Linked DNA regions of Oryctolagus cuniculus. The protein of the gene in region 7 purifies or fractionates together with the protein of the main gene of each other region. This does not show direct contact. Links are inferred from orthologs where the notes say so. Each region holds a gene or a part of one and is shown on either strand. Other genes may lie near its edges. The genes, in order: MALT1, BIRC2, CNTN2, TRAF3IP2, NFKBIB, ATM and IKBKG.

Evidence for each region.
Region 1: the proteins of IKBKG (region 7) and MALT1 purify together in Homo sapiens (affinity purification with western blotting; 4 studies listed by BioGRID and IntAct, with this or other methods). This does not show direct contact. The link is inferred for Oryctolagus cuniculus from reciprocal best matches to the Homo sapiens genes IKBKG and MALT1.
Region 2: the proteins of IKBKG (region 7) and BIRC2 purify together in Homo sapiens (affinity purification with western blotting; 6 studies listed by BioGRID and IntAct, with this or other methods). This does not show direct contact. The link is inferred for Oryctolagus cuniculus from reciprocal best matches to the Homo sapiens genes IKBKG and BIRC2.
Region 3: the proteins of IKBKG (region 7) and CNTN2 purify together in Homo sapiens (affinity purification with western blotting, with the first as the bait; 3 studies listed by BioGRID). This does not show direct contact. The link is inferred for Oryctolagus cuniculus from reciprocal best matches to the Homo sapiens genes IKBKG and CNTN2.
Region 4: the proteins of IKBKG (region 7) and TRAF3IP2 purify together in Homo sapiens (affinity purification with western blotting; 3 studies listed by BioGRID, with this or other methods). This does not show direct contact. The link is inferred for Oryctolagus cuniculus from reciprocal best matches to the Homo sapiens genes IKBKG and TRAF3IP2.
Region 5: the proteins of IKBKG (region 7) and NFKBIB purify together in Homo sapiens (affinity purification with western blotting; 5 studies listed by BioGRID and IntAct, with this or other methods). This does not show direct contact. The link is inferred for Oryctolagus cuniculus from reciprocal best matches to the Homo sapiens genes IKBKG and NFKBIB.
Region 6: the proteins of IKBKG (region 7) and ATM purify together in Homo sapiens (affinity purification with western blotting; 7 studies listed by BioGRID and IntAct, with this or other methods). This does not show direct contact. The link is inferred for Oryctolagus cuniculus from reciprocal best matches to the Homo sapiens genes IKBKG and ATM.

What each region holds. Positions count from the first base shown.
Region 1 is NC_091441.1:19,722,751-19,726,250, forward strand, and holds part of MALT1 (mucosa-associated lymphoid tissue lymphoma translocation protein 1), read right to left. Parts: coding exon 3,373-3,500; intron 2,609-3,372; coding exon 2,512-2,608; intron 1,634-2,511; coding exon 1,601-1,633; intron 1-1,600. UniProt on the Homo sapiens protein: Protease that enhances BCL10-induced activation: acts via formation of CBM complexes that channel adaptive and innate immune signaling downstream of CARD domain-containing proteins (CARD9, CARD11 and CARD14) to activate NF-kappa-B and MAP kinase p38 pathways which stimulate expression of genes encoding pro-inflammatory cytokines and chemokines.
Region 2 is NC_091432.1:94,088,540-94,091,432, reverse strand, and holds the end of BIRC2 (baculoviral IAP repeat-containing protein 2), read right to left. Parts: intron 1,898-2,893; coding exon 1,643-1,897; intron 1,359-1,642; coding exon 1,317-1,358; intron 1,220-1,316; coding exon 1,026-1,219; 3' UTR 501-1,025; downstream 1-500. UniProt on the Homo sapiens protein: Multi-functional protein which regulates not only caspases and apoptosis, but also modulates inflammatory signaling and immunity, mitogenic kinase signaling, and cell proliferation, as well as cell invasion and metastasis.
Region 3 is NC_091444.1:20,419,922-20,424,153, reverse strand, and holds the start of CNTN2 (contactin-2), read right to left. Parts: upstream 2,801-4,232; 5' UTR 2,724-2,800; coding exon 2,531-2,723; intron 1-2,530. UniProt on the Homo sapiens protein: In conjunction with another transmembrane protein, CNTNAP2, contributes to the organization of axonal domains at nodes of Ranvier by maintaining voltage-gated potassium channels at the juxtaparanodal region. May be involved in cell adhesion.
Region 4 is NC_091436.1:60,012,890-60,016,389, reverse strand, and holds part of TRAF3IP2 (E3 ubiquitin ligase TRAF3IP2), read right to left. Parts: intron 1,995-3,500; coding exon 1,840-1,994; intron 1-1,839. UniProt on the Homo sapiens protein: E3 ubiquitin ligase that catalyzes 'Lys-63'-linked polyubiquitination of target protein, enhancing protein-protein interaction and cell signaling. Transfers ubiquitin from E2 ubiquitin-conjugating enzyme UBE2V1-UBE2N to substrate protein.
Region 5 is NC_091449.1:15,862,007-15,866,228, reverse strand, and holds the start of NFKBIB (NF-kappa-B inhibitor beta), read left to right. Parts: upstream 1-1,422; 5' UTR 1,423-1,509; coding exon 1,510-1,688; intron 1,689-4,222. Other genes in the region: SIRT2 (NAD-dependent protein deacetylase sirtuin-2), read right to left, coding at 1,060-1,275. UniProt on the Homo sapiens protein: Inhibits NF-kappa-B by complexing with and trapping it in the cytoplasm.
Region 6 is NC_091432.1:99,975,900-99,979,874, reverse strand, and holds the start of ATM (serine-protein kinase ATM), read right to left. Parts: upstream 2,801-3,975; 5' UTR 2,069-2,800; intron 1-2,068. Other genes in the region: protein NPAT, read left to right, coding at 3,153-3,189.
Region 7 is NC_091453.1:132,763,712-132,767,955, forward strand, and holds the start of IKBKG (NF-kappa-B essential modulator), read left to right. Parts: upstream 1-1,444; coding exon 1,445-1,631; intron 1,632-4,244. UniProt on the Homo sapiens protein: Regulatory subunit of the IKK core complex which phosphorylates inhibitors of NF-kappa-B thus leading to the dissociation of the inhibitor/NF-kappa-B complex and ultimately the degradation of the inhibitor.

The DNA.
Region 1 (3,500 bases), on a different chromosome or scaffold from region 7:
ACACTGTTCAGAATATGCATCAATTAACCATAAAATGTTTGGACTTTGTAGGCATTTTTGGAAAAAGATATTTCCATCTGAAATTCTAGAGCAACTTTATAGCTAGATTTTCATCTTTACATTTTCTGAATAGAGATATTTGAAAGTTATTACTTCACAGTGCATTCAACACTACAAAAATATGGAGGTTTCACAGGTATAGAAGCAGCATGTCAAGGTGATAATTTCCATGAATTACCCTGAGCTTACACTCATTCTTAGAGGTCTCCAATGTGAGTTTTAAAAACCATGCAATTAGGGCTGGCACCGTGGCTCACTAGGCTAATCCTCCGCCTAGCGGCGCCGGCACACCGGGTTCTTGTCCCGGTCAGGGTGCTGGATTCTGTCCCGGTTGCCCCTCTTAAAGGCCAGCTCTCTGCTATGGCCAGGGAGTGCAGTGGAGGATGGCCCAAGTATTTGGGCCCTGCACCCCATGGGAGACCAGGAGAAGTACCTGGCTCCTGCCATCACATCAGCGTGGTGCGCCGGCCGCGGCGGCCATTGGAGGGTGAACCAACGGCAAAGGAAGACTTTTCTCTCTGTCTCTCTTTCTCTCACTGTCCACTCTGCCTGTCAATTAGGCAAAAAAGAGAAGAGAGGAAGAGGAGTTTGATTAGGATTTCTTCACCCAGGTAGAGTTAACAGACCATGTGATTAGAATCCCCTCTTGCTTACAACCAAGTTATTAGTATGAAGACAGTAATTATAGGACTGCCAAACTGATGTTATGGAGATGAAGGACAGAAAAATCAAGAAATGTAAGACTTAACACTATTTTCTTGCTTTACACAAGAGCCCAAGGTTACATAACAGTTTGAAGAGGCAGAAATTGAAAAAATACTTTGCTATTCACAAACCTAATTATGCAAACCAATGTTTGCACCAAGAGAAGGTGATCTATGTTTTAATATTTACTCATTGCAATTTAAGCACAATGCTTAGATTAGTTTATGTTGAAATATTTTCAGTTCTTTTTATATATTATGGTAAAGGTGACATTGTAGATTAATCTACAGCCTTAGAGTTTATAAAATCCTCATGATTTTAGATTAAAACAGAATATCTTATTAATATAATTAGAAATATTGATAAACATGGTTAAATAATAAATCTTCTGTCTCCAAGCTTCCACAGAAACTATTTCAGCATTTGAAAGGCAATTTATTCTGGCTAAAGGATAGATAAAATAATCCAAACAAATAACCATGACAGTATAGTCATCCATTTTTTTAAAAAATAAATTTTATGAAGATAAAAATAAGAGTTCATTGAAAATCTTGGCTATTCAAAAATTATGCAGGAACTTTGTTCTCCTATGCAACAGAAAATCAACGGAATCAATATTAACTCAAGATTAGTTATTGTCATAGTGTGTCTGTTCAGTAGTTTTCATGGCAATTTATAAAGCTTCAAAGACCAAGAAACAATATCCTCCAAGAAAAACAGCTTCTTGGAGTAAGTATTTTTTCCATCACTGCACTCAGAGAACTAGAACCCTCCAGCAGTCCCGAGAATAACCCGCATGCAGAAGATGTGGTCTCAGACCAAAGAACGACACTACCTTCAGTGCACTCCACTGCCTCATCTGTTCTTCCTTGTGTCAGAGAAAACAAATGTGAATATAGTGGAATCCATCTTAGGAAGGGCAGCCATCAAGCAGAGAGATAAATACATAGGGACATGTTGGCAAGCCAACACACACCAACATCTCCTATTTGTTAACAATGCAACTGTAAATGCAATTAGCTTAAATAGAATAAACTCCCAATTATGCAGTTCAGAATATGAATTGTTAATTGATAATTACGTCTTTCGTCTGTATAAGGTTTTTTATTTTTTTTAAAAGTTGTTTATTAATTTGAGAGACAGAGAAAGACTGATAGAGAGGTCCTATCCCCTGGTTCATTCCCAAATGCCCACCACAACTGGGGCTGGGCCAGGATCCAGGAACTCAATCCAGGTCTCTCACAAGGGTGGCAGGAGCCATCACTGCTGTCTCCCGGGGTCTGCACTGGCAGGGTTGGAATCAGGGTCAGGAGCTGGAGGTGTGTACCATACTCAGGTACGGTCCCTCAGATAAGAGATACAGGCATCTGGAAGGCCAGATGTCTTCCCCCATGATGTTTATAAAAATGTTTTATTAAAATATTTTGTAACCAAATTGAGTTTTCTGTAGCTAAAGCTTTAAAGAAGACATTTTTTGCTGTGCATTTAAAATAAACTATAAAATTTAAAAATAACTAAAACAACGTGAATACGATATTTTTCTGGTTTTTTGCTCTTTGGATGTGAACTTAGATTATGGATCTAGTATGCACTCTCTCAAATTTCTATATAAACAAAATAATTTCTAATACTTAACATACCATTAAATGGTACTAGGGGAAAAGCAGAATTTCCTTTGCTTACACATTCAGTTTATACGGTTCATTTTACATTCCACTTGTCAGAACACTGAGCAATACTGCTTACCTATGATGACTTCTGCCCTCTTGCTATCTTGACTGTCTCGTTCATTATACACACGACACCAATAGGTTCCCTGATGTTCCAAATCCACATAGGGCACCTACGTTGGTATCAGAACACATACATATTTCCTCTTCAACTTTAATTTGAACTGTATTTTTTTTTAAAATAAAAAGCCTCCAAAACAAAACATTTCAGAAAGTTTCAGACATTCTTAGATTATGCACTAACTTAAATAAAAAAAAGCTAATGATAAAATGATCTTAACACTGGTGAGTTTATGCAAAACTAGTTGACATTTTACAAAGAAGCCCCTGTTGAATTCCAGTATTTTTGCAAATGTAAGAATCAATATTAAATGGACCTGAAGTAAAAACACCGGAAGCATTAACACATTCTAATGCATATCAGGGTTTTTTGTTTTTGTTTTTTTTTTTTAAGATTTATTTGAAAGGCAGAGTTATAGAGAGAGGGGGAGAGAAAGAAACCGATCTTCCATCTACAGGCTCACTCCTCAAATGGCCACAATGGCCAGGTGGCCAGGGCTGGGCCAGGCCAGAGTCAGGAGTCAGGAGTCAGAACTTGATCCAGCTCTCCCAACACGGGTGGCAGGAGCCTAAGTACTTGAGCCATCTCCTGCTGCTTTCCCAGGAACATTAGTAGAGAGCAGGATTCGAAGTGGAGCAGAGGGAACACAAACGGTGCCCATAGGGGATGCCAGCATCACAGGTGGTGGCTTAACCCACTGTGCCACAATGCTGGCCCCATCAGTTTTAATATTCACTTCAAATTCAACTATATCATTTGTTTTATACATTTCCCAGCCCCTCTCCCGTCCAAATACCCCAAAAGTCAACTTCCTACCATGTAGAGCTTTTTTGTCTCATGTGTTAAGGGTGACTCATTTTTGAACCACTGGTAGTGAGGAATAGGGCTTCCCACAGCAACACACTGCAGAATCAACGTGCTGCCCGGCAGCAGCTTTTGGGATC
Region 2 (2,893 bases), on a different chromosome or scaffold from region 7:
TACATACCTGTGAGACTGGATTTTCTTCATACTTTTACCAAAATATAATATTATGCAGAAGCAGGTACAAGAATCCATCTGTTTTATTCTAAGACAAACTTTAAAAGCTTTGCTAAAATGTAACAATGCCACTCTTAAATTTTCTTAAAATTCTCATCAGCAGTGTTATATTAACATAACACAGCATTTAAAAATAAGTTACTTAAGCTAGATCAAAGAAGTGGAGTAGCCAGAACTCACACCAGGCACCCCCTATGGGATACAGGTGTCCGGAGTGGAGATTTAAACTGTGACATCAAACAGCATACTGGTTCATTTTCCATTCAACAATACATCAATATTACACAAAGCAACTAGAGAGTATCATCTAAAGGAGTTCTCATAAATCACATTATTTTAAAAAGCACTTGTTTTATTAATTAAATTTTTTACTTAATAGCATTTGAATGCAATGAAGAATTTAACAAAACTACTTTTTAAAATCAAGACAGGAAAAATCATTTTGATAATGCAATCCATTTTAAACACTTTATTAAGATATTTCTCACAAACTAGGGGAAAACTTATTATCAGTAAGAGAAAAAATCCTTAATTTACAACACAAGTAAAAAGCACCAAAGAGAATTTGGTACCATCATTCTGATGAGCTCAAGTTCCTGGTTTCCAATTCTGTAAACCACACTCTCATGTAGCACTACTCAAAGCTTGCAGAAGGAACACCAAATCTAGAAACTCCTGAAATGATACCTAAGAAGCACTGACACTACTTCTTTTATTTCTCCCACGTCCACATATAGATAATAACTTAGTTCTTCAAACAGAAATCTTCCTTTGCAAATAAACAGATTCTAAGATTAAATACATAACACTATCTTTTTGGAAACAAAATTATTAATACCAAAGCAAAGCAGAACATGAATCTATCTGATTGAAGAACCAATAATTCCTTTTTTACTTCAGGTGGCTTCAAATGCTCAATATTTTAAAGACTTTTCTACATGGGTAATACATAGCCTACTTTTCCTTTATGAGAGAAATGTGCGAACTGTACCCTTGATTATACCCCTGCAAATAGGGCATTTTCTTAGAGAAGGGGCACATCCTTGGCACACTACAAGATGACCACAGGGAATGAATACAATAGAAACTTCTTTGTCCATACACACTTTACAAGTTCGTTCTTCTTGCAACCTCCTCAACTGTTCTTCCAGTGACAGACCTAATAACAAAAAGAATTTCAATAAAATTCAGTTTCCAGTTTACCTTCCAGTAATTAAAGATTTTAAGTTGGTTTCAAGTCTTAAATTTTATTTTACCTGAAGCATCTTCTGTTGGAATATACTTCATGTTCTTTTCCACTGAGTAAAGAAAACATAAGATATCACTCTACCAAACAGAAAACTGCTTCACTTACTAACCACTTTTTTTTTGTACCCACTACTTACTGAATAATGTCGATTTTTACCTATAATTGATCAGAAACTTTCAAATTCAGGCATACTACTTAGGCCATAAAAGACTTCATTTTTTTTGGAACAAGTAAAATGTACAGATTATAGTTGGCTGATTATAATTATTTTCCTGTCAGGAGACATGAACATAAGCCTAAGGATTTCTAAAATGATCTTCCCAAAAAACTCACCAAATAAGTTCTCATACAATGTAGAGTCAATTTCTTTCAGACAGTTTTTGAAGATGTTGGCTGCCACATTTCCTTTAACTAAAACAGTATCAATCAGCTCTCTTGCTTGTAAAGGTATCTGTGTTTTTTGTTTAATAATATCATGTTCCTGCTTGTTAATTACATTGGCTTTTAAAAGATGATCCAGGATAGGAAGCACACATGTCAACTGTTGAAAGAGAGCCATTCTATTCTTCCGAATTAATGACAAGTCGTCTTCATGTAAAAAAAAAAAAGGGGGGGGGGAGAATATGTTAGATTTTAAACACCTCTAACTATACTGTACAGTCACTACCAACCAACCTACAAATACTTTAGGCACTAAATAAGTAGAGCTTGAAAACAAACAAAATGACTTGCATGCATTTTAATGTGTCATTTGGAAAACTTGCAGATTTAGGCTGGTGCCGTGGCTCAATAGGCTAATCCTCTGCCTGCAGGGCCGGCACACTGGGTTCTAGTCCCGGTCGGGGCGCTGGATTCTGTCCTGGTTGCCCCTTTTCCAGGCCAGCTCTCTGTTAAGGCCCGGGAGTGCAGTGGAGGATGGCCCAAGTCCTTGGGCCCTCACCCGCATGGGAGACCAGGAGAAGCACCTGGCTCCCGGCTTCGGATTGGTGCAATGCGCCGGCCGTGGCAGCCATTGGAGGGTGAACCAATGGCAAAAGGAAGACCTTTCTCTCTGTCTCTCTCACTGTCCACTCTGTCAAAAAAAAAAAAAAAAAAAAGAAAACTTGCAGATTAAGACATGTGTGTTATATATTGGGTCTGTATAATTTTTAAACATATGTATTTATAAGTTCTAGAACCTCACTTTTCCTTTATTTTGTAAAAAGCAAGCATAGAATTTCATAGGACAGTAGTGTCCTACTTCTGTATTCCTTCCACCAAGAATTAATAATACTGACTTCTATTTGCATTTTATCACTTTATTTCCACAAGCCTTTGAATATAAATTGTTTCATTTGGTGTCGGCACTGTGGCATTATGGGTAAAGCTGTTGTCTGCAATGCCAGCATCCCATTGGGCTCTGGTTCATGTCCTGGCTGCTCCACTTCCAATCAAGCTCCCTGCTAATGGCCTGAGAAAAGCAGTGGACAATGGCCCAAGTGCCAGGGACCTGGAAGAAGCTCCTGGCTTTAGCTTGGCCCAGTCCCAGCCACTGCAATCATTTGGAGAGTGAACCAGTGGATGGAAGATTTCTGTCTCTATAGC
Region 3 (4,232 bases), on a different chromosome or scaffold from region 7:
TTGGGAAGTTCTCGGGGCGCCCTGAGTGTGGAGGAGGGTGGACGTCCATGGGAGGCAAAAGGCTTCTGAGCTAGGAAGGACTCCCACAGGGTGCAACGGGGCTCCCGTGTACCCCAGGGTGGGCTATTGGGCTTTGGAGAACGTGACCTGCCCTTGTGCTTGCTTGCTCCCTCTTTGGAGACAAAGCAAATGGGCGAATTCTGTAGCCAGGACTTAGCAAACCAAAGAAAGAACCTCTTGGCTCTGGATGGTGACCACCAGGCCGCAGAGCACGCCGGAACACCCTGCAGTGCCGCAGGTTTGGCCACGGCCCTGGGGGTTTGGTCCAGGTGGCGAGGTAGCCAGCTGGAGGGGCGGACATGTGCCTGGCTTCTCAGCGGGTCCTTAGGCTCACCCGCCTTTTGCCATTTGAGAGAGGATCACTGGCAGCTGGGAGAGGTAGCCCTGTCCCAGCTGCCTCTAACCTTGGACCAGACCCCATCCTGAAGGAGAGCACACCCACCCCCCGCCATGGCCACGGCCCAGGAGGCGTCTCCTGCAGTCTAACTCGAATGCACCTTGCTTCACGACAGCTTTGCTTCTGCCTCCTTTCTCCACCACCTCTTTACCGCTCTCCTAGTTTTGCCCTAGGAGTCCCTCCAAGAACACAAATACCACCCACACCCAGGCTCACAGATCCCCCAGAAATTCACCTTCTCTACCACACTGGCTCGGGAGGAGGCTCCTGGCGGGGAACCCACACCCTCCACCCCATCCCACCTGTGTGGTCCCCCCGACCCCGATGGCCTCAGAACTGGAGAGGATGCCGTGGGGCGCGTGGTCAGCCACAGCTCCCACCACCCCTCGAGCGCAATGCCCGCGAGCCCTTCCCACGGGAGTCTATTTGAATGAGGGCTGGAGAGAAGGTGCTGGAATGGAGTTGCATAAGGGAGTGAGATCTGGCGGGGACAGCGCGGGGCGTGGGGGCCGCAGCCGGAGCTGGGCTTGGACCAGGGGAGGGGTGCGAGGGAAGAGCTCAGCCAGGCAGGAGGCGGAGGGAGGGCAGAGTCAGTGTGCGTGCAGCTGGCGGGGCTGGGAGCATCTCCTGGGCAGTGTTCCTCTGCTTCCCTCGCTCCCTGGGTGTGATGGGTACCATCAGCTCGGGGGACCCCTTCCCATCTGTCTCACCTCCTGCCTTTCTCTTACTGGTGACGGACTCCCCATGACCTTGTGGCAGAAGCCCTGTCAAGGTTCAGCAGCCTGGCTAGGAAGGGGTTAACTAGCAGGCACTTCTTTCTCCCAAGGCCAGGCACCTGTTCAGACTTCCCAGCTGTCTTCCTGCCCCACCCCCAGGAAGTGCGGTCAGACTGGCCTCTCCCACAGGTGTCCACCCTTTGCTGCCCTTGGTCTCCGTCCCTCTGGGTGGGCCATGGGACGAGGCAGCAGAGGGACTCGGAGCCTAAGTGGACTGAGAGGCTCTCCCGGGCGGACACTGAGAGCAGGTGCTCATGGGGTGGTGCTGTTTGGCCCCCTTCCTCTCCAACCCACTGCTGCCCGGAGCTGAGGTCCATGGCGCGCACTGCCGGCTGCCGGCACCCCACCCCCAGACCACCCAACAGTGCTGACCCACAGCCCCCCAGAGACCCAGACTGAAGGGTATAACACGGGACGCTCCCCTTCCCCAGCCACTGCCTCGCGACAGCCCCTGTTCTGGCTTCCCAGCCCTTGGGGAAGGTGGCAGGGTTCAGTTCTGGACACCTCTGGCTCATTATGTAAGCCCCAGGGTGCTCTTTCCAGAGCCCCACCCCCACCCCGCCGTGCCCCTCCCCCCTCCTCACACCTGTCTGGCCCCAGCCCCCTGCCTCACTGGAAAGACAAACTTCAAGCAAAGCCCTCCCTCCCACCAGCGAGGAGGAGAGGAGGGGGAAGGGAGGGAGCCCCAGCCCCCACCCTCGGGGATGTGACTTGCCTCAGTTTCCCCTCCTGGAGTCCCAGCGCCCCGTCAGGCCTTCGCTCAAACTTGTGCTCCACTCTTTCCTCTCTCTCACACAGCCCCCACCCCCACCTCCAGCGGAGGCCAGACTTGACAAAGAGGTCAACCCTGCAGAGGCAGCCCCGGGTGACCCCAAATCCCAGGGACTCCAGCTCAGTTCCATGCTTGGACCTGTCCCGGGCAGGCCAGAGCCCAGGGCTCAGCTTCAGAGACTGGGCGGACCTGGACACGGGGCGGGGATGGCCCAGGAGCCTCTGCCCTCTCCCTGAGCAGCCGGCCAGCAGGAATTCCTGGACACTTTGCGGGGGGCTGGCTCTCCGGTCAGCTGGGGCTGTGGAGGCCCTGCAGGATGCCGCCCACGCACACAGGGTGGGGGTGGGGGTGGGGAGCCACCCTGGGGCTGGGCTGAGAAGTCAGACCGGCCCCTGCCGGCCAGCTGGGTGTTCCCCTCCCGGCCCCTCCCAAGTTACAAGAGGGATATTTCCAGAAGCCCCTGCCCGCGGTGGCAGTGCCCGGGCAGCCCCGGGGCTGGAGGAGACAAAAAGGAGTGGCCCCTACCTGGGGTGACAGGAGGGTGTGGGCTGGCGCAGGTGGACGCTGTCCGAGCGGGCGAGCCCTTCGGCCGGGCTGGCAGCCGTGGGGCCCGCTCCTCCGGGCGCCCGCCGGCTTGGGCGCTGCGGCGGCGGCGGCGGCAGCGGCGGCGGCGGCCGAGGGCGCGAGTGTGTGTGCGCGCCTGGAGCCACTGCAGCATCTCTGCATCAAGATGTGCTCCTCCCTCTGCCCGGCTCCGCTCACTGGCTGGCTCCGGTCCTCGGCGGCGCCCGGGCCCTGGAGATGGCTTCCTCCTGCCCCCTCCCGCCCCTCCCGTCCCCACCCTCCCGGCTTTCCCTCATCTGCTGTCACCGTCTTCCATAATGCATGGGCCAGCGCCGCCCGCCCTCCGCACCCCTGCCCAGCCCCCCTCCGCCTCGCCTCCCCCAGCCCTGAGTTGGGGGGCTGCAGAGGGGTGGGGTGAAGAGGCGGAAAGTGGCTCTTGCTCCTCCGACCGGGGAGACCCGTGGCGCCCCAACTCCCCCAGTCGCCCGTGAGAGGCACGGATCCGAATCTGAAGTCCCCAGCTTGCTGCGGGCGGCGAGTGGGACGGAGCGGCCGCCTCTGCCGCTCACCCCGCGTCACCTTCCTCTCCATTGTTTCCCGTGCTCAAAAATAGCACTGGGCTTTTGGTCAGAATAGCCCAACGTCAGGGAAAATTTTAGAATAGGTAGTAAAATTCCCTTAGCCATTGCCCTGAGCAAGTTGGAGCCCACGCCCCAGGTTTGCTATTGGTGTGCGGAATTCGTGGGGTTTTGTGACAATGGGATTCCACGGTGCATCACCATCTGCAGGCTACTTTGTAACCGCGTCATCAGTCTCCGCATGAGTACATGTGCGTCCAGGCCAGTTCACTCCTAACCCCCTAGCAGTGTGACGTCATGAACAGGTCCCAGACCAGGCACTCTGAATGTCTACAGAGTTCTCTGGGCTCTGCCTCTGCTCGGCTGTGTGTGTTTGGCCAAGCGCCTTGCCCTCTCTGAGCCTTCCTGGTAAACTGAAGGAGTTAAAGGTGACCACGGTCCCTGGCAGGTCTGAGAGTCCAGGTGCTTACCCTGGCTAGTGGCATGTCTCTCCTGCTCTGTTCCTGTCTCGTGGAGATGCACGCAGGACGCCGGGGCCTGGAGGGGTGGGGGCGGGAGGCTGGGTGGGGACCAGCCATCTGCAGCACCAGTCGGCCTGTCAGGCTGCCACTGCCGTCTCGCCCCCCTCTGGTCCGCCTGCTGTCCAGCTTGCACACGCAGGACTGGGGAGCGGTCAGATGCCGAGCAGCTGGCAGGGCCAGGCCAGCCTCCAAGCTTCAGATGGCCATACCTGTCGAGCCTGGAGCGTGGCGGGGCACCCGCCGGGGCTGGCGTGAGAGGTTCAAAGCAGGAGCGCGGGAGGCCCTGCCGCCAGCCCCACAGGCGCTCCCCTCCCTTCCTTCTGCTCCCCCTCTCAGGGCTTCCCCAGCTTGGGAGCCGGTCCTCTTTGTTCCTGCGGGAGATGCCGGGGGCCACTTGGGGCGGTGCTGGACAGAGACAGGCACAAGGACCATGGACCACGTCCAGGACATCCTTCCTGTCTGCCTTGCCAGTGTTGACTTCACCTCTCTGTCTCTCTGCGGGCCTGCGCGTAGGCCCTGAGCCCCTGAAATGAACCTTGCCCCCTGACGCTGCCCAATCAGCCC
Region 4 (3,500 bases), on a different chromosome or scaffold from region 7:
CCCTGAACTCTGGCCTGACAAGAGCAAGTAGGGGGAGAATGAGCGTGCGTGTGCACACACACACACACAGACACACAGACACACACATACCTCCTACTTTGGGAGGAAGGCCAGGAAGTGGGAGTTGACTAAAAACATAGCTCAGAAATGTCGGTAAAAACTCCAGTGCTGGAAGGAGCCCCGTGGCTCACACACTCCTTCACCGAGCCCTAAGCCCGCTTAGAGCTGGGGACGGCACAGTGGGGACCGGCTGGACCCAGTCAGGACCACAACCAGTGTTTCCTCAGGCTAACGTCTTAGGGGAAGACTGTGCACAACACACGAATAATCTCTGTGTGTGGGACCAGTTACATGGCAGGAATCCCCTGGGGCAGACAGGGGAGAGAAAAATAGGCATCTGTGTGTTCATCTGAGCGCGGGGCTTCGCCTCTTGTGTCTTGGAGCCCCAACTCCCATAGATGTGTGTGTGTGTGTGTGTGTGTGTGTGTGTGGATCACATTCACTCATTTAAGCAGCAAGGCATAGGGATGGTGTTCGATTCTTCTTCCCCCTAACACTCCTCTGATTCCTACTCAAGTGATTCGAGGACTCCCTTTATGGAGTATGATGAGACGTGCGTGATCCACGGACTGACAGCAGGGCTGTTTCCTGTGCGGGGCAGCACCTGCTCTCCAGAAATGCTCAGAATTAAAATGCAGAAGGTGTTAAGATGCTAAGAAACATTTTTGGCATGAAGGCAACAACGGTTCCTTGCCATGGAAACCTTTCAGAGTTGTAACTGACTGCAGATTACGATTCCCCAAAAGGAGCTGACAAAGGCAAAGGGCTTCAGAGCCACCCAGATTTGACAAGGGCTTATTAGAAGCCCCTGAGCTTTGGGGCCACCACTGTGGCAGAAAGGGTTAAACTGCCACCTGGGATGCTGGCATCCCATATGGGCACCAGTTCAAGTACTGCCTGCTCCACTTCTGATCCAGCTGCTTGCTAACGCACCTGGGAAAGATGGTCCAAGTGCTTGGACCCCTGCCACTCACTTGAGAGACCCAGATGGGGTTCCAGGTTCCTGGCTTTAGCCTGGCCCAGCCCCAGCTGTTGTGGCCATTTGGGGAATGAACCAGCAGATGGAAGATCTCTCTCTCTCTCTCTCTCTCTCTCTCTCAGTAACCTTGCCTTTCAAACAGATAGATCTTTAAAAAAAATCTGAGCTTCTCTAGCAAGCACAACTGATAATAGTTTCACAAGTGCTGTTTCTTAAGATTTCTGGAACGAACTCTCCTGACTGACCTTAATCTGAGAACATTTTGGTGATATTTCAACATTTCTGGTTCTGGCAGCAAAACGTGGAAAAAGAATCATCACCTGACACAGCCAAATGTTTCCTTAAATAAAAGCCTTAGTTGGCTTGTGGTTGTGAAGCAGTATGGAGACTGCGAGGCCGATTTTTTTTCCAAACAAGATTGCTCATTCCTACAGGAAATGACCTCGTTCTTGACGGCTGCTGCTGGTTTACGGTGAGACACCAGGTCCGTGTCCAATACCCCATGGACGGCCAATCAATTTACCCAGGGACTAGTCCGCCCCAGAGCATCATTTAGCAGAGAGCAAAAGCGTTGGCGTTATTTGTTGGAGTATGTGTTCAGGAAAATCTAGCGGTGAGCAGTGTGTGAGCATTTCTGGAGGTGTCAGATTCACTGAAAACATTCCTACAACACGCGGGTTACTCTCTAAGCAAGAAGCAAAGAAGGACATTTTCTTTCCCCGTGTCTATGAGCAAGCTCTGAGGTCAGAGTCGACAAGACTGACAAGCAGAAGGCGAAAACAGCATTGCAAACAACTTACGCAACTCTTCTGGCAAATTGCTTGTCCTCAGAGTGCCTCTGGCTGCAGTGTTGCTGGGGCGTCGAGGTACAGCAGCTGGGGACAGAGCCTGGGCACGCTCCGAGGACTCCTCCAGAAGCCCGGCCCTATTGGGCAGCTGGGGGTTCGGCTGGTCCCTGCGGAGGAACACGTTTCAAGGAAATGTTCATTCTGCATGGAGGCAAACCTTGAGGGGCGCTAAGGCTCTAAGAACCATGGGAAGGGATCAGCGGAAGATCGCTCTCCTCTGCCTCCATTGCTTAGCCAAGACAGAAAGAAGAGGGGCACCCCAGGGAGCCTAAATCAACAGCAGTTAAGCTGGCCTTGAGCTCCTTGTGGCGAGGGGGAAGCAGTTCTGATTTCTCCATTCAAGGACTAGTTGGGAAACTAAGTCTCATTCCCAAGGCACACAGGTCACCCACAACACACGGACAGCTGATGTTAAGGGCATTCAAATAAAAAGAGGTACCTTCTAGCTCATGATGGGTAACATTCCATTATGTATCAAAAGGTGAAAGAGGCCATGAAGATTTAAAAGGACCCCTGCTGTTAATATATGAATGAAAACCTTTGCAACACGGCTTCTGTGTGATGATGTTGGCTGCCAGCACTGCCACAAACGTTGTGCTGAGATGAACCGTCAGGAGGAGGGTGTGGGAGGCAGAAGGGAAGGAGAACGTGGCTTCCATTGATAAGCACAGTCATGAGGTCACAGGTGTTCAGGGCAGGGCCTGGGCACCCACTTTTTCCAGGGCAGATCCAGCCATTGCCAAGGATGTGGTGGTGTTGACTTTGATTCCCACCTTCCTCGCTGCACCCTTGGTTGTGGGGGTGGAGCACGGGGTGGTCCTATTCTATAGTGTTGCTCAAGTCCAACTAACGCTTGCTTCTCCAACCTCCAACAATTTTGTAAGCACTCATTTCCCTGTATTAACTCCCCTTCTGCTTAAATAGCAGGAGCTGCTCCTGTTTTCTCTGATTGAATCCTAACTTGTAGCGGGACCAAAACTGTAATTCTTAGGCTTTATTCCATTAAAAAAAAAAAAAAAAAAACTCTGAAACTTATGACCACACGTTAAGATTTTAAAAATCTAGGTAGGGGTGTTTATTTCTCTCTTGGAAGCCCCCCTCCATGCCTTTGACTCTAATAAAAATCTAGGTAGAGCCTGCAGCCCATATTGGAGTGCCTGGATTAGATTCCTGGCTCCAACTCCTGACTCCAGGTTCCTTATCATGTACACTCTGGAACACAGTGGTGATGGCTCATCACCTGCCACCCACATGGGAGACATGGATTGAGTTCCCTGTTCCTGGCTTCAGCCTGACCTGACACTGGCTGTTGGTATCTGGAGAGTGAGACCAGCAGATGGGAGCATGTGCTCTCTCTGTCTCTGTGTCTCTGTCTCTCATAAATAAATAAATAAGGGCCAGCACTGTGGTGGAGCGTGTTAAGCTGCCATTCACAGCACCAGCATCCCATCTGGGTGCCAGTTTGAGTCCTGGCTGCCCCACTTCCAATCCAGCTCCCAGCTAAGGCACCTGGGAAAGCAGCAGATGACCGAAGTACTTGGGCCTCTGCACCCACGTGGGAGATGTGGAGCAAGTTCCTGGCTCCTGGCTTCGAATGAGCACAGCTCCAGCCG
Region 5 (4,222 bases), on a different chromosome or scaffold from region 7:
GAATGGGAAGGGGGGTGGGCAGCAGCAAAGAGAGAGGAAAGTTTAGGAAGGCAGGCCTGGGGCTGAGGCTGTACGTTTTTCTCGGAGGTCCCCAACACCCCCCATTCCCCAAGAGGCTGCACCCCTGCAAGGCGGGGCGAGGGGCCCCGGGGGAAATGTCTCCCCTCTGCCACCTCCCCCCAGAGTGGGATGTGGGAACGAGTCCAGCTTCCTCCTCCCCTCCACCATTTCCCCATCTCACCTGAGCCTCTTGCACCTTCCCTGCCTGGGTCTCCAGAGGGTCAGAGGCTGGGGGAGGAGGGGGAGCAGACGTGGTTACAGTGGGGGGAATGGTTAAGAGGGAATGAAGGGTTAAAAGTGGCCGCGGTGGGAGCGGGGGCAGGGGCGGCAAGAAGACCCAGGGTCATGGGGCGGTGGAGTGGCAAAAGCTGAGCGGAGGGAGGCAGGGGAGGGGGCTGGCGGGAGAGGTGGTGAGTAGGGGCAGAGTGGCTGTGGCGGGGCAGGGTTGGGAAGAGAGGCTGGAGGAAGCTTAGGAAGAGTTAGACAGGGCAGAGCAGTGTGTGAGTGTGCGGGGAGGGAGAGGAGGCTCCCAAGGCAGAGGAAGGTTTAGACAGGAAGCGGGGCTCGGGCTGGAGGCGGGTTTGGGAGAGGAGGAGCGGTGGAGGTGATGGCACAGGAACTGCAGGGGAGAGACGGGACGGGACACCCGGGCACCCCTAGCATCCTACGGTTGCCCCTGACAACCAGGTGCTCTTAGCAACCGAGACCGCGGCAACTTTTGTCCTCAGTAACGAGGGTCCTCAGCAACCAAAGTGTGAGAAACACACGATCATTAGTAACTTGGAACACGGACGAGGTAAACGGACCCTTAAAACCTCGCGACCCAGAGACCCGCCACCCCGCGAGTGTGGATCAACCTAACTACAAGCCTCGGAACCCCGCTCCCTCAGTGTAGCCCTGCGCTCCCAGCCCCCCGCGCCCGCCCTCGGGCCCCGGGGCCTGCAGCCCTCGGCCAGGCCCCGGCGCGGCCCGACCCTTCCACCGGGGCCCCCGACTCACGATCCGGCTCGGCCATGGGCTCGGGGCGGGGGCCCTCGGGGCTGTCACCGACTGCTCTGTCCCGTGACGGCACCGGAAACAGAAGGGGAAGGCTTCGGGCATAGAACTACGACTCCCAGCACCCATCTCGGCCGCATACAGGGCTTTCCCGCAAACGCCCCGTGCGCGCCCGAAGGCGGAACTACGAGTCCCAGACGGCCTGGCGGTGGCAGCCATGTTAGTAAAGGGCGCTCGGAAAATGTGGGTATTGCCCGAGAGCCGTCGTGCATCCCAGTGCTCTGATTGGCCACCCTGCACCAAGGGGGCGGGGCGTGACCGATTTCGCCCACTCTAATTGGATTTACCAGGGGGCGTGTTGGGGAATTTCCCGCAGGGCGGAAGTGCCGGAGCTCCGGGCAGAGCCCAGCGGCAGGCGGGGAGCCGCGGGGGGCCCTGAGGTGGCTGGGGGCCATGGCTGGGGTTGCGTGCTTGGGAAAAGGTGCGGACGCGGATGAATGGTGCGACAGCGGCCTGGGCTCTCTGGGGCCGGACGCGGCAGCCCCAGGAGGCCCGGGGCTGGGCGCAGAGCTGGGCCCAGGGCTATCGTGGGCTCCGCTCGTCTTCGGCTACGTCACTGAGGATGGCGACACGTGAGTGAACCTTAGGCTGTTAAACGAAGCCCTCGGATCCGAGGCCTGATTCTCCATTCGTTTCTGAGTGTCTGTGGTTTCCCAACCTGTCACTCCTGAATCTGACTTCCGTTGCGGGACTTCCTGACTTCACACCCCCCCCATCCTAATTTGTAACAAAACCCAGTTTCCGATCAGCTTTGAGCCCGATTCGATCATTGCCGACCTACTTTCCCTGAACCTTGATTTTCATGCCCCCCCCCCCGAACCTACATCCTCCTAACCCACTGATCCCAAAACCCGATTTGACCTTCTGACCCCCAGTCCTTAGTAGAGTTGGGGCTCAGGCTGTGGCTCCCCACCCCCCCATAGCATCTCTGATCTGAGCTGCTGACTTTGCTTCGGGGGACCCTCGGCCCCCGCCTCTAAGAGCCTGCTCCTGGGCTCTGATCTTCCCGGCTTCAATTCCGAGACAGCCCGTGAGCCACGGGAGAGCTGAGGTGGCCTTGCACCTGACCCGGGTCCTGTCTGAGCCATGGACAGTGAAGGAAACAGAAGCTTTGGTGTGGCGTGGGGGCCGGGGGTCGCGGTCACCAGGGGCGGAGCCTTCTCTGGGTGGGAGGGTAGGAGGGAAGAACCTCCCAGGGACAAGACTGTAAAGGACCAGCTGGGCACCTTCTCTGGGTTTTGTGGGGTTTTTTTTGCCCGTTGATTGCTGGGTCCCCAGAGGCTCAAAATAGCGCCTGACCCACGTCTTCTCCAAGAACCAGCGAGGGTTTCGCTACTTTTCTCCCTCTTTTCACTTTCTATTTCATTAGCCCCTAACCTGACTTTTATCTTCTTTCTTCTGAATCTTGGGTTTAATTTATTCTTTTTGTAATTTATTTTGTTCTTTTTTAAATTTTTTAAAATATTTATTTATTTATTTCGAAAGGCAGAGTTAGAGAGAGAGGGAGGGGAGAGATCTTTCATCCACTGGTTCTCTTCCCCCAGAGAGATTAAATGGCCATGGCTGGGCCAGGCCGAAACCTGGAGCCAGGAGCCTCTTCTGGGTCTCCTTAGCGGGCGGCAGGGCCCACACACTTGGGCCACCTTCTGCCGCTTTTCCCAAGCTATGAGCAAGGAGCTGGGTTGGAAGTGGAGCAGCCGGACACGGAACCAGAGCCCGTATGGGATGGGTGTCCCAGTGGTGTCCTCGCCGCGGCCATAATGCTGGCCCTGTCTTTTTGTGATTTCTTAGGATGAAAGTTCATGTCATTGATTTGAGAGCTTGCTCCTGTTTTAATGTAGGTTATTGAGTACTATGAATTTTCCCCTGAAAGCTGCTTTAGCCTTGTCTCACAATTCTGATATGTTGTATCTTGATTTTCACTTAATTCAGTATTCCTTATAATTTTCTCTTTTGAATTCTTCTTTGACCAGTAGATTTAAAAGTCTGCTATTTGGTTTCCAGATAGTTTAATATTTCCAGGTATTTTTCTGCTGCCAATTTTCAATTCCATTGTGGGCAGAAAACATACTTTGTACGTTTTAAATTCTTTTAAGTTTTTTGAGACTTGTTTTACGGCTCAGAATGGTGTACACACACTTAAAATACTCTGTACCCTGTGGTTAATGTAGCGTCCTCTGCATATCAGTTGGAGGCTGTGTTGGCCCACAGAGCTCCAGGCTGCTTTGTCCTTGGTGATGGTTTTTCACTTGTCTGTCAGTGGTTGAAAGGGAAAGTCTGAGAGCTCCAGCTGTAACTCTGGGTTTGTCTGTTTCTCTCTCTAATTCTGTCAGGTTTTGCTTAATCTAGTTTGAGGCTCTGTTATCAGGGCACAGATATTTAGGATTATGAAATACTGTTACTCGATTCATTGATCTCCTTAGCGTTTTGATATTACCTTCACTATCTGTGGCAATATTCCTGGCTCTGAAATCTACTCTGCCTGATTTTAAAATACTCCTTTATTTGAAAGAGTGAGAGAGAGAGAGAGAGAGAGAGAGAGAGAGAGATCTTCCAACCTCTGGTTCATTCCCCACATGGCCACAACGGCTGGGGCAGGGTCAGGCCGAAGCCAGGAGCCTTCAACTCCCTCTGGGTCTCCCGCGTGGGTGGCAGAGGCCCAAGCACTTGGGCCGTCCTCTGCAGCCTTCCCAGGTGCATTAGCAGGAAACCGGATCAATAGCGGAACGACCAGGACTAGAACTGGGGCTCTGGTGTGGGATGCTGGCGTCACAGCGGCCGCTTAACCCCCTGCGCCACAGCACTGGCCCCTGTTTTGTTATTTTAGTGGTCACTTTAAGACAGCAGTTGGCAATGGAGCCTGCCACCTGGTTTTGAGTTAAGAATGGTCTTTATATTTTTTTAATTTTTAAAAAATAATCAGCAGAATAATACTGCTTGGTAAGTGGAAATTTTATGAAATTCATATTTTGGGCCCCAATAATAAATTGGAGTGCTCTTTTATTTGCATATCGTCGTCCATGGCTATTTGCAGTAGCAGAGCTGAGTGGGTAGAAGGGAGACCATGTGACCCACAAAGCCTAAAGCAGTGCTCTGTCCCAGTACA
Region 6 (3,975 bases), on a different chromosome or scaffold from region 7:
TAAATAAACAGAAGATATTCATTCATTGATACAAACAATATTTACTATGTACTACTGTGCTCAAGGTACTATATCAGGGACAGCTAGACAAATCAATGAAACATATAAATCCTGCTTTCATGAAATTCTACCTAGAGGTAGAAAATAAACAAACTGATAAATCAATGCATAATTCCAAAATGTGATGTATACTGTTAAAAACCAAATTCTTAAAACTGAAGGATATTAGGGGCCGGCGCTTTGGGGCAGTAGGTTAAAGCCCTGGCCTGAAGCACTGGCATCCCATATGGGCACAGGTTCTAATCCCAGCTGCTCCTCTTCCGAACCAGCTCTCTGCTATGGCCTGGGATAGCAGTAGAAGATGGCCCAGGTCCTTGGGCCCCTGTACCCAACGTGGGAGACCCAGAAGAGGCTCCTGGCTTTGGATGGGTGCTGCTCCGGCCGTTGTGACCATCTGGGGAGTGAACCAGCAGATAGAAGACCTCTCTCTCTCTCTGTAACTCTTTCAAATTAAAAAAAAAAAAAAAAAAAAAAAAAAAACCTGAAGAATACGAAGAATACTCTGAAATAAAAGGGTTTTGGGAGCAATTACAGAAACTAGCCAGAAAAAAGGAGTGGTCTAGAAGCTCCTGTAACCACCAGCAGAGAGCTGTCTGAAAGGTTTTTTTGCTGGATCTAAAAAACCAAAATATTTTATACTCAAAGTTTGGGAAAAAGAAAGTATAAACTGTTTATAATGAGCCTATATAGAGAAGAGTGGCAGTACAACTAAAAGGCAGGAAGGCAGTCTCTAAGTATTTAGCTATTCCTAATCAGTTGGGATTGCCTTGATGGCCTTGGAGTTAAAATTTCAACATGCATTCAGGACATCGAGCAGTTTTTTTTTGTTTTGATTGGCCAAAACTGGTAGCTGACTAACTTCTCTCTCCTCTCCACTCTCTAGCTGTGTAATTAAATTTAGGACATCTTAGAATACTTGCTTTCATCTTTGCCTCAAAGAAAGCAATACTTAAACAATAATAGAAAGAAACTAATACTTAAACAATAATAGAAAAAACCAGTAGAGAGGACCATTTTAGATAAATTATAAGGAAACATCTCAAAGGAAGGTATAAAAAGAAAGTCAAGATCTGAATAAACCAGTGCCAATCATATAAAGAGCTGAAGAACTGACATTTGAGGGAAGTAATCTTGCACAACGCCAGGGCACTAAGATGGAAAAGAGTATGTTAGGTTGGAGGAGGTGGAGACGAGCCAGTCAGAGTAAAAGTATCACCAGATAAAGACAAACCCCACTTATACATTAATCCAGACTACCTACGATTCATTCATATTCCACAGAAACAACACAAATTTCCTAAATAACAGGCTCTGCACCGGCGCATTCAATATTCGTTGTTATTAACCAGCTTAATCCCTTTGCAGAACGTTGACAATGATGCCCATTCCATCCTCCTAGAAATAACTTTGTCCTTGGCATGCAATTCTTGGCTCTGTAGTCAATGTGTATTAATCCAGCCAGAGCAAGTTAGCTCATGTGTCCAAACCTTAATGATAAAAACAATACTAGCATCTACCCCAAAAACTTGTTGTAAGCATGCAGGTGCATGTTTAGCAAAGCACCTGGAACACAGCCAGTCACCACGTTAACAGTTATCAGAATGAATTCCCTTCCTTTATGATTGCTCCATAAGTCTCTTTCGATATTTCTTCCCTTCCCACTTCAAGCAGCATCCTTATCTCCTTGGTCTCATTCATTCCTGTGACCTAAACATACTGAAAACTCCCCGAACCTATTTCTTTCAATACTAGATCTCACCCCTGATCTTCAAGAACCTTCTACCATGTGCCTTTTACAGGTAAGTTTCTTTCTGTTTGGAAAGTTCCTACTATCCCCTAAGGCAGTTTAGATACTGCAAGGGCTCCCGGCAAACTAAAGTGTTTCTTCCAGGCCGAGTTTCCACAGGACCTGTAACTGCTCTTCTAGAACATTATCCACCTTGCAGTGTAGTTAATTATCTGCACCTGGGAAAACAGCTCTGCAGGGCTCACCACAGGGAAGGATTACCTCACGTAATTTTCCAAGGAAGATGTCAAACAGCTGGCAGAATTCGAACTCGGTACTGTGATTCCAGAACCTACATTCTTAACCACGAGGCTATAGTTAAAATCTCACTAAATGCTCGCTAACTAAAAGTACCAATTATGACACGAGGTTAAAAAAAAAAAAAAAAGGTAACTACTCCAATCGCCTAGTTGAATCTGAACCCTAAGGGCACGGGAGAAGCAGACGCGGAGAAAGGAGAACTCAATTCAGAAGACTTAAAAGGAAGTTCAAGGATAACGCCGCAGGGGGCTCGGAGGGAGTGCGGTGAGTAGCCGCAGCAGCAGCGAGAATAACGAGGGAGAGAGCGCTCACGGGCCGCTCTGAAAGAGCGCGTGGGATTAGGAGTCGGGGGAAAAGGACAGACTGGGTCCAATACGACTCAGTTCTGTAAATACACAAGTCACTGCGTGGCTCCGCACCCCTACCGCTAGACTCTGACGGCCCAGGCAGTGCCGGCGGCGGCTTGCAGCACGGATCCCCCAGCTCCTCTCGCCACCTCCGGTTGCCACAGCTTCCACACTCCGTTATCCCCGCAGCTTTCCCCGCTTCCGGTTCAAACGCCGCGTGAACTCGCAGCGTCCTCTCGGAAGAAAGCGCTAACAGGCCACAGAGCACACTCTGCTCATGCGCACAAGTATCACGCGCTTTCCGTCGCCCAACACTGCGCACCCCCAAAACATTCTGCTCGTCTGCGGAAACGCGCCTGCGCGCTGCCCACCAATGGCTAGCGACTCTGTGTCAGTCGCCCGCCCTCTGGCTGCTGCTCCGGCGCTCGCACCCCGCCCCTTCACGCTCTCCGGCCCCACCCCTCCAACTCTGAGGGCGGAAGTGACGGCAGTTCCAAGGAGAACGGAGGCGGGTTTCATTTCGGCGCCTTTCTTTCTCTGGCGGAAGCCATTGGCTGCCGTGGAGCGAAAGAGGCGGGACAAATTGCCGCGGGTTCAGTGCCGCCACTGGAACCGGGAGATGCGGCGTAGGAGCTGTCGCTGTGTTTCTCTGTACCTGCGTCTCGTCTCTTATTGTGGTTCGTTCTGCGGCGTCGATCATGCTGTTACCCTCGGACGTTGCCCGGCTAGTATTGGGTAAGCGCGGACGCTGGCGGGAGGGTTACTGGGCCAGGCAGAGAAGGAGGGAAGGCGCTTCGGAGCTAAAGCCTTTCTCTTGGTGGGGCAGCCTTGGGGTTTTGCTTCCCCGCTTGCAAGTTCGGACTGGCTGTGATTTTCCGTCGCTCGCTGGCCCTGGTCGCGTACGCCTCGTTGTGTGTGGATGCTCTCCTGCTCGGGCTGTTTGTCTAGGGGAGAGCCGGAGAGAAGCTCGGAGGGCAACACCTGAGGCCCGGATTCGGAGGGAAAGTCAGGCCTGCACACTTCACTGGGACCCCTGAAAGAGAGTTGTCTACGTGACGGGGCGGACTTCGTCGTCTTCAACCTTGCGCGTACTTTCCCTTGTCAGAGCTGAGACCAAAATAGGACAAATAAGGACTTCCCGGCCACCCAGCTTTGTAGAAAGACCTTCGTGACGTCTTTCTCATAACCCTTAGAACTCCGGATTTGGGACGAGTGGGGGTGGTCCTCCTCCTCCATCCTCCCGGCAGGACGTCCTCCCGTGTAGAGGGTTGAAATGCCAATTGCAAATTTGAAAGCAGCTGCAATTCCTATTGCTTTGATGAGCGAACAGTTACGGAAGGGAAGTGCCTTCCAGCTGAACGTTTTCTCGCCCTAGTTAGCTTTTCCTCCATTTGTGCCACTTGTCTGTCAGGGTGTATTGTCTGTGTGGGAGACGGTTTTTTTGTTATTGTTTGTCCCTTCAAAGAATAAAGAAGATTGTACTGCTAGCAACGAGAGCCACTTAAGCTCAAAAACGGGGCC
Region 7 (4,244 bases):
TTTGAAGATTCCTCAGCGCATATCTGACTCCAGGGGCTACACTTGTTAGACTGTTAGTGGACTCAGAGCCCCTCTTGCTAGGTCTGTGAGGACTGCTGTAGGCAGTGACCACAAGCTTGGTGGCTTAAAGCACCCGAAATGTAATCTCGTGGTTCTGGAGGACAGTAGTTGGAAAGCAAAAAGTCGACAGGACTGCAGCCCCAGAGGCTGAGAGGAGAGGGTTCTCTCTCGTCTCTTCCAGCTTCTGGTGGCTCTGATTTTTCCTTGGCATGTGGCCACATCTCTTTATTATCTGCTTCTTTTTTTTTTTGACAGGCAGAGTGCACAGTGAGAGAGAGAGAGAGAGAGAGAAAGGTCTTCCTTTGCCGTTGGTTCACCCTCCAATGGCCGCTGCGGCCGGCGCACTGCGGCCGGTGCACCGCGCTGATCCGATGGCAGGAGCCAGGTACTTCTCCTGGTCTCCCATGGGGTGCAGGGCCCAAGGACTTGGGCCATCCTCCACTGCACTCCCTGGCCACTATCTGCTTCATTTTTTTTAAAAAAAGATTTATTTATTTGAAAGGCAGATAGAGAGGGTAGGATGGAGAGAGAGAGATGTTCTGTCTGCCGTTTCACTCCCCAGATGGCTGCAATGGCCAGGGCCAGGCCAGGCTGAAACCAGGAGCCAGGAACTTCATTTGGGTCTCGCACTTGGGTACAGGGACCCAAGCACTTGAGCCATCTTCCGCTGCTTTCCTGGGTGCATTAGCAGGGAGCTGGATTGGAAGTGGAGTAATCAGGCCTTGAACCAGTGCCTATATGGGATGGTGGCTTAACCCGTTACACCACAATGCTGGCCCCTTCTGACTGTTTTCACCTGGCTTTCTTCCTTGCATGTTTTCCTCTGTCTTTTGTCTTTTATAAAGACACTTGTTAATGGATTTAAGGCCCACCTGAATAACCCAGCAAGCTCTCATTTTGATCAAGGCCCTTAGTTTACATCTGCAAAGATACTTTTCCCAAATAAAGTTGCATTTATAGGTTTTGGGGCTACCATGCAGCCTACAGTACTTGGGAGGGAACATCCCCTCCGGCTTGAGGGTCTGTGTAAGGGTAGGGGTCCCAGCGCACACCGATGTCTCCTGCTACAATAATCCTTAGTTTTCTGCCTCTGGCAAAGTTCCTGCCTTAGGTGTGCATCCTGAAGATGGGTGCTGGTACAGAGTCCGTAACCAGTGCTAAGCCATGGCCTGTGCAAGTCTCACAGAGGTGGTTCAGCATCTTCCTTCGGAATGAGGGTGTTTGTGACCTCTTAGATCGAAACCCCATTTCGGCCAGAGGGATCAGCATTTTGCCTTCATGGCCCCAGAGCTCCTGCACAGAGTGTACTTATCCTGCTGGGGATGAGAATTCCCCTGGGTCTCATGGGATGCCTTTGCTGCCTTTCTCGAAGAGCGTGCCTTGGATGAGCAGGCAGCCCTGGAAGAACCAGCTGTGTGAGATGGTGCAGCCCAGCGGCGGCCCGGCCGGGGACCAGGACGTGCTGCCTGAAGAGTCTTCTCTGGGGAAGCCGGCCATGCTGCATCTGCCCGCAGAGCAGGGTGCTCCTGACGCTCTCCAGCGCTGTCTGGAGGAGAACCAAGAGCTCCGAGGTGAGGTGGACAGCAAGTAGGTGGGGCACAAAGTCAGGGGATCTGGTCCTGCTGAAGGCAAGGCTTCTCTCGTGCACCTCTGCGTCTGCTGGGTGTGGGGCGAGGGCACCCCGAGAGCCAGCTTGTGCTTCCAGCGTAGCTACCTTGCCTCCTGGTTCCAGGCGGGGTTCCCTGGGAGCAGACCGAGGTGCATGGCAGGGTCAGTACTGAGGCAGAGAAGGGAAGGAGATGGGAGAAAGCAGGGGTGGGCAGCAGAAGTGGGCTGCCTTGGCTGACCCCCAGGGACTCTGGGGCTGGACTGACACTTCCAGGCTGGACCAGCGTGGCCCAGCCTCAGAGGACCTCTTCCCTGGGAGGGGACTCAGACTTTCCTGGGGTGGGTTGCGGTCTTGTTTGAGAGGGGGGTGCTGTGGCCTGTCCTGGGAAGTGGGTGTGGCCCACCCTGAGAGGAGGTGGTGTTGACCAGCATGAGAGGCATGACCCCTGCTGCAGTGGGGTAGCTGATGCCTCAGTTGTGTCTTTAGTTGGCCATTCATGTCCTAGTTGGCCAGTGGCTCTTGCCACAGTTGTAGTCCCATTCCCCACCTCCTTAAGTGAGTGTTGGATGTGATGTAGGGTCTTTTGCTGATGAGTCACGTGCTCTGTGGCCTCAGGGAGTGGTGCTGGCAGATGCCATGCACGCAGGGAGCAGACCTGGGTCTGGAATGTGTGTCCTCTTCCTAGGAGACAGCTAGCCACCAAGAGACTGCTTGGTTTCCTTGAAGGTTGCATTGGAGAGGCCCCGCCTTTTTTTTTTTTTTTTAGATTTATTTATCTGAAAGGCAGAATTACAGAGAGGCAGAGGCATACAGAGAAAGAGAGGCCTTCCATCCGCTTGTTCACTCTGCAGATGGCCTCAACGGCCAGAGCTGTGCTGATCCCAAGCTGGGAGCCAGGAGCTTCTTCTGGGTCTCCTATGCGGGTGCAGGGGCCTGAGGACTTGGGCCATCTTCTGCTTTCCCAGGCCATAGCAGAGAGCTAGATCGGAAGTGGAGCAGTGGGTCTAGAACCAGCGCCCATATGGGATGGTGGCACTGCAGACGGCGGCTTTACCCACTATGCCACGGCGCTGGCCCCGAGGCCCTGTCTTGAGCACAGAGCAGCAGTGTCTTCTACCTCAGTTCTGTTGACCTCTGGGGCCAGCTAATTCTCTGTGGTGAGGGCTGTCCTAGCCATTGTGGCATGGTGAGCAGTATCCCTGGCTTCTACTCACAGGTGCCAATAGTGCCCCTCCAGTCCCCTGGGAGTCACAGTTGTCCTTGAGTGGGACCCACTGTGCTGGGGTCTTCAGAACAAGTCATGCACATAGAGCTGGCAGCCAGATCGGGGCCTCTGCTCATCCCTAGGGGCCCAGAGCATTTCAGAGCAGTTGTGCAGGGCTCATGCCATGGCCTGTGGTGGCTCGGCTCTTCTGCCTCCTAGACTGTGTGTTCAGCACAACAGCTTTGCTAAGTCTCTGGCAGCAAGTGGAGACTTGAGGCTATATTGCCTCCAACTGGGAAGCTGGATAAAGCTTGGGGGGCAGCATGTGAGACCCCCGGGGCCCTGAAGGTGATTGTCCCCCAAGGTGCTCATGATTGTGTCTATAGGTAGGCTGTGAAACCAAACAAGGGAGGGTACAGTGTTTGCTCAGAACGTTTATGAAGAAACTTCCCGGAAGAGCTTGCCTGTATTCACGTGACATGTCTCAGAGACAGAAAGCAGTTGAGTGGACGCCAGGAGTGCGGGCAGGGGGCCTACGGGAGAGAATGCTGCTGGGTTTGGGGTTTCTTTCTGGGGTGCTGGGAATGTTCTGGAATTAGGTAGTGCTGATGGTTGCATGATCTTACAGCTTCATTAGCTAAAAACCACTGGATGACTATACTTTAAAATAGTTAAAATGGTGAATTTGATGTTACATGAATTTTTACGTCACTAAAAAGAAATTTAAAAGACATTGCACACAAGTTGAGACTCGGGTTGAGTGGGCAGGCAGCAGTGATGGCCAAGGGTTTGGAACATTCAGTGATGTGAAACTACTGTCTACCTCTGTTGGATACGGTTCTGTGGTTGCCCTAGAACCTTGCACGTCACTGATCGCTTTTGTCAGATGCTTCTTCCTCTACCTGGGGTGGTCGCTGGGTATGTGGCTTTCCTCTCCTCTGGCCTCTGCCAGCCACCTGCCGCTGGCACTGATATATGCTCATGGCTTAGTCTGGCGAGAAGAAGACTGCTCTTATTTATTTATTTATTTATTTATTTATTTATTGACAGGCAGAGTGGATAGTGAGAGAGAGAGAGACAGAGAGAAAGGTCTTCCTTTTGCCGTTGGTTCACCCTCCAATGGCCGCCACGGCCGGTGCGCTGCGGCCGGCGCACCGCGCTGATCCGATGGCAGGAGCCAGGAGCCAGGTGCTTTTCCTGGTCTCCCCATGGGGTGCAGGGCCCAAGCACCTGGGCCATCCTCCACTGCACTCCCTGGCCACAGCAGAGGGCTGGCCTGGAAGAGGGGCAACTGGGACAGAATCCGGCGCCCCGACCGGGACTAGAACCCGGTGTGCCGGCGCCGCTAGGCGGAGGATTAGCCTAGTGAGC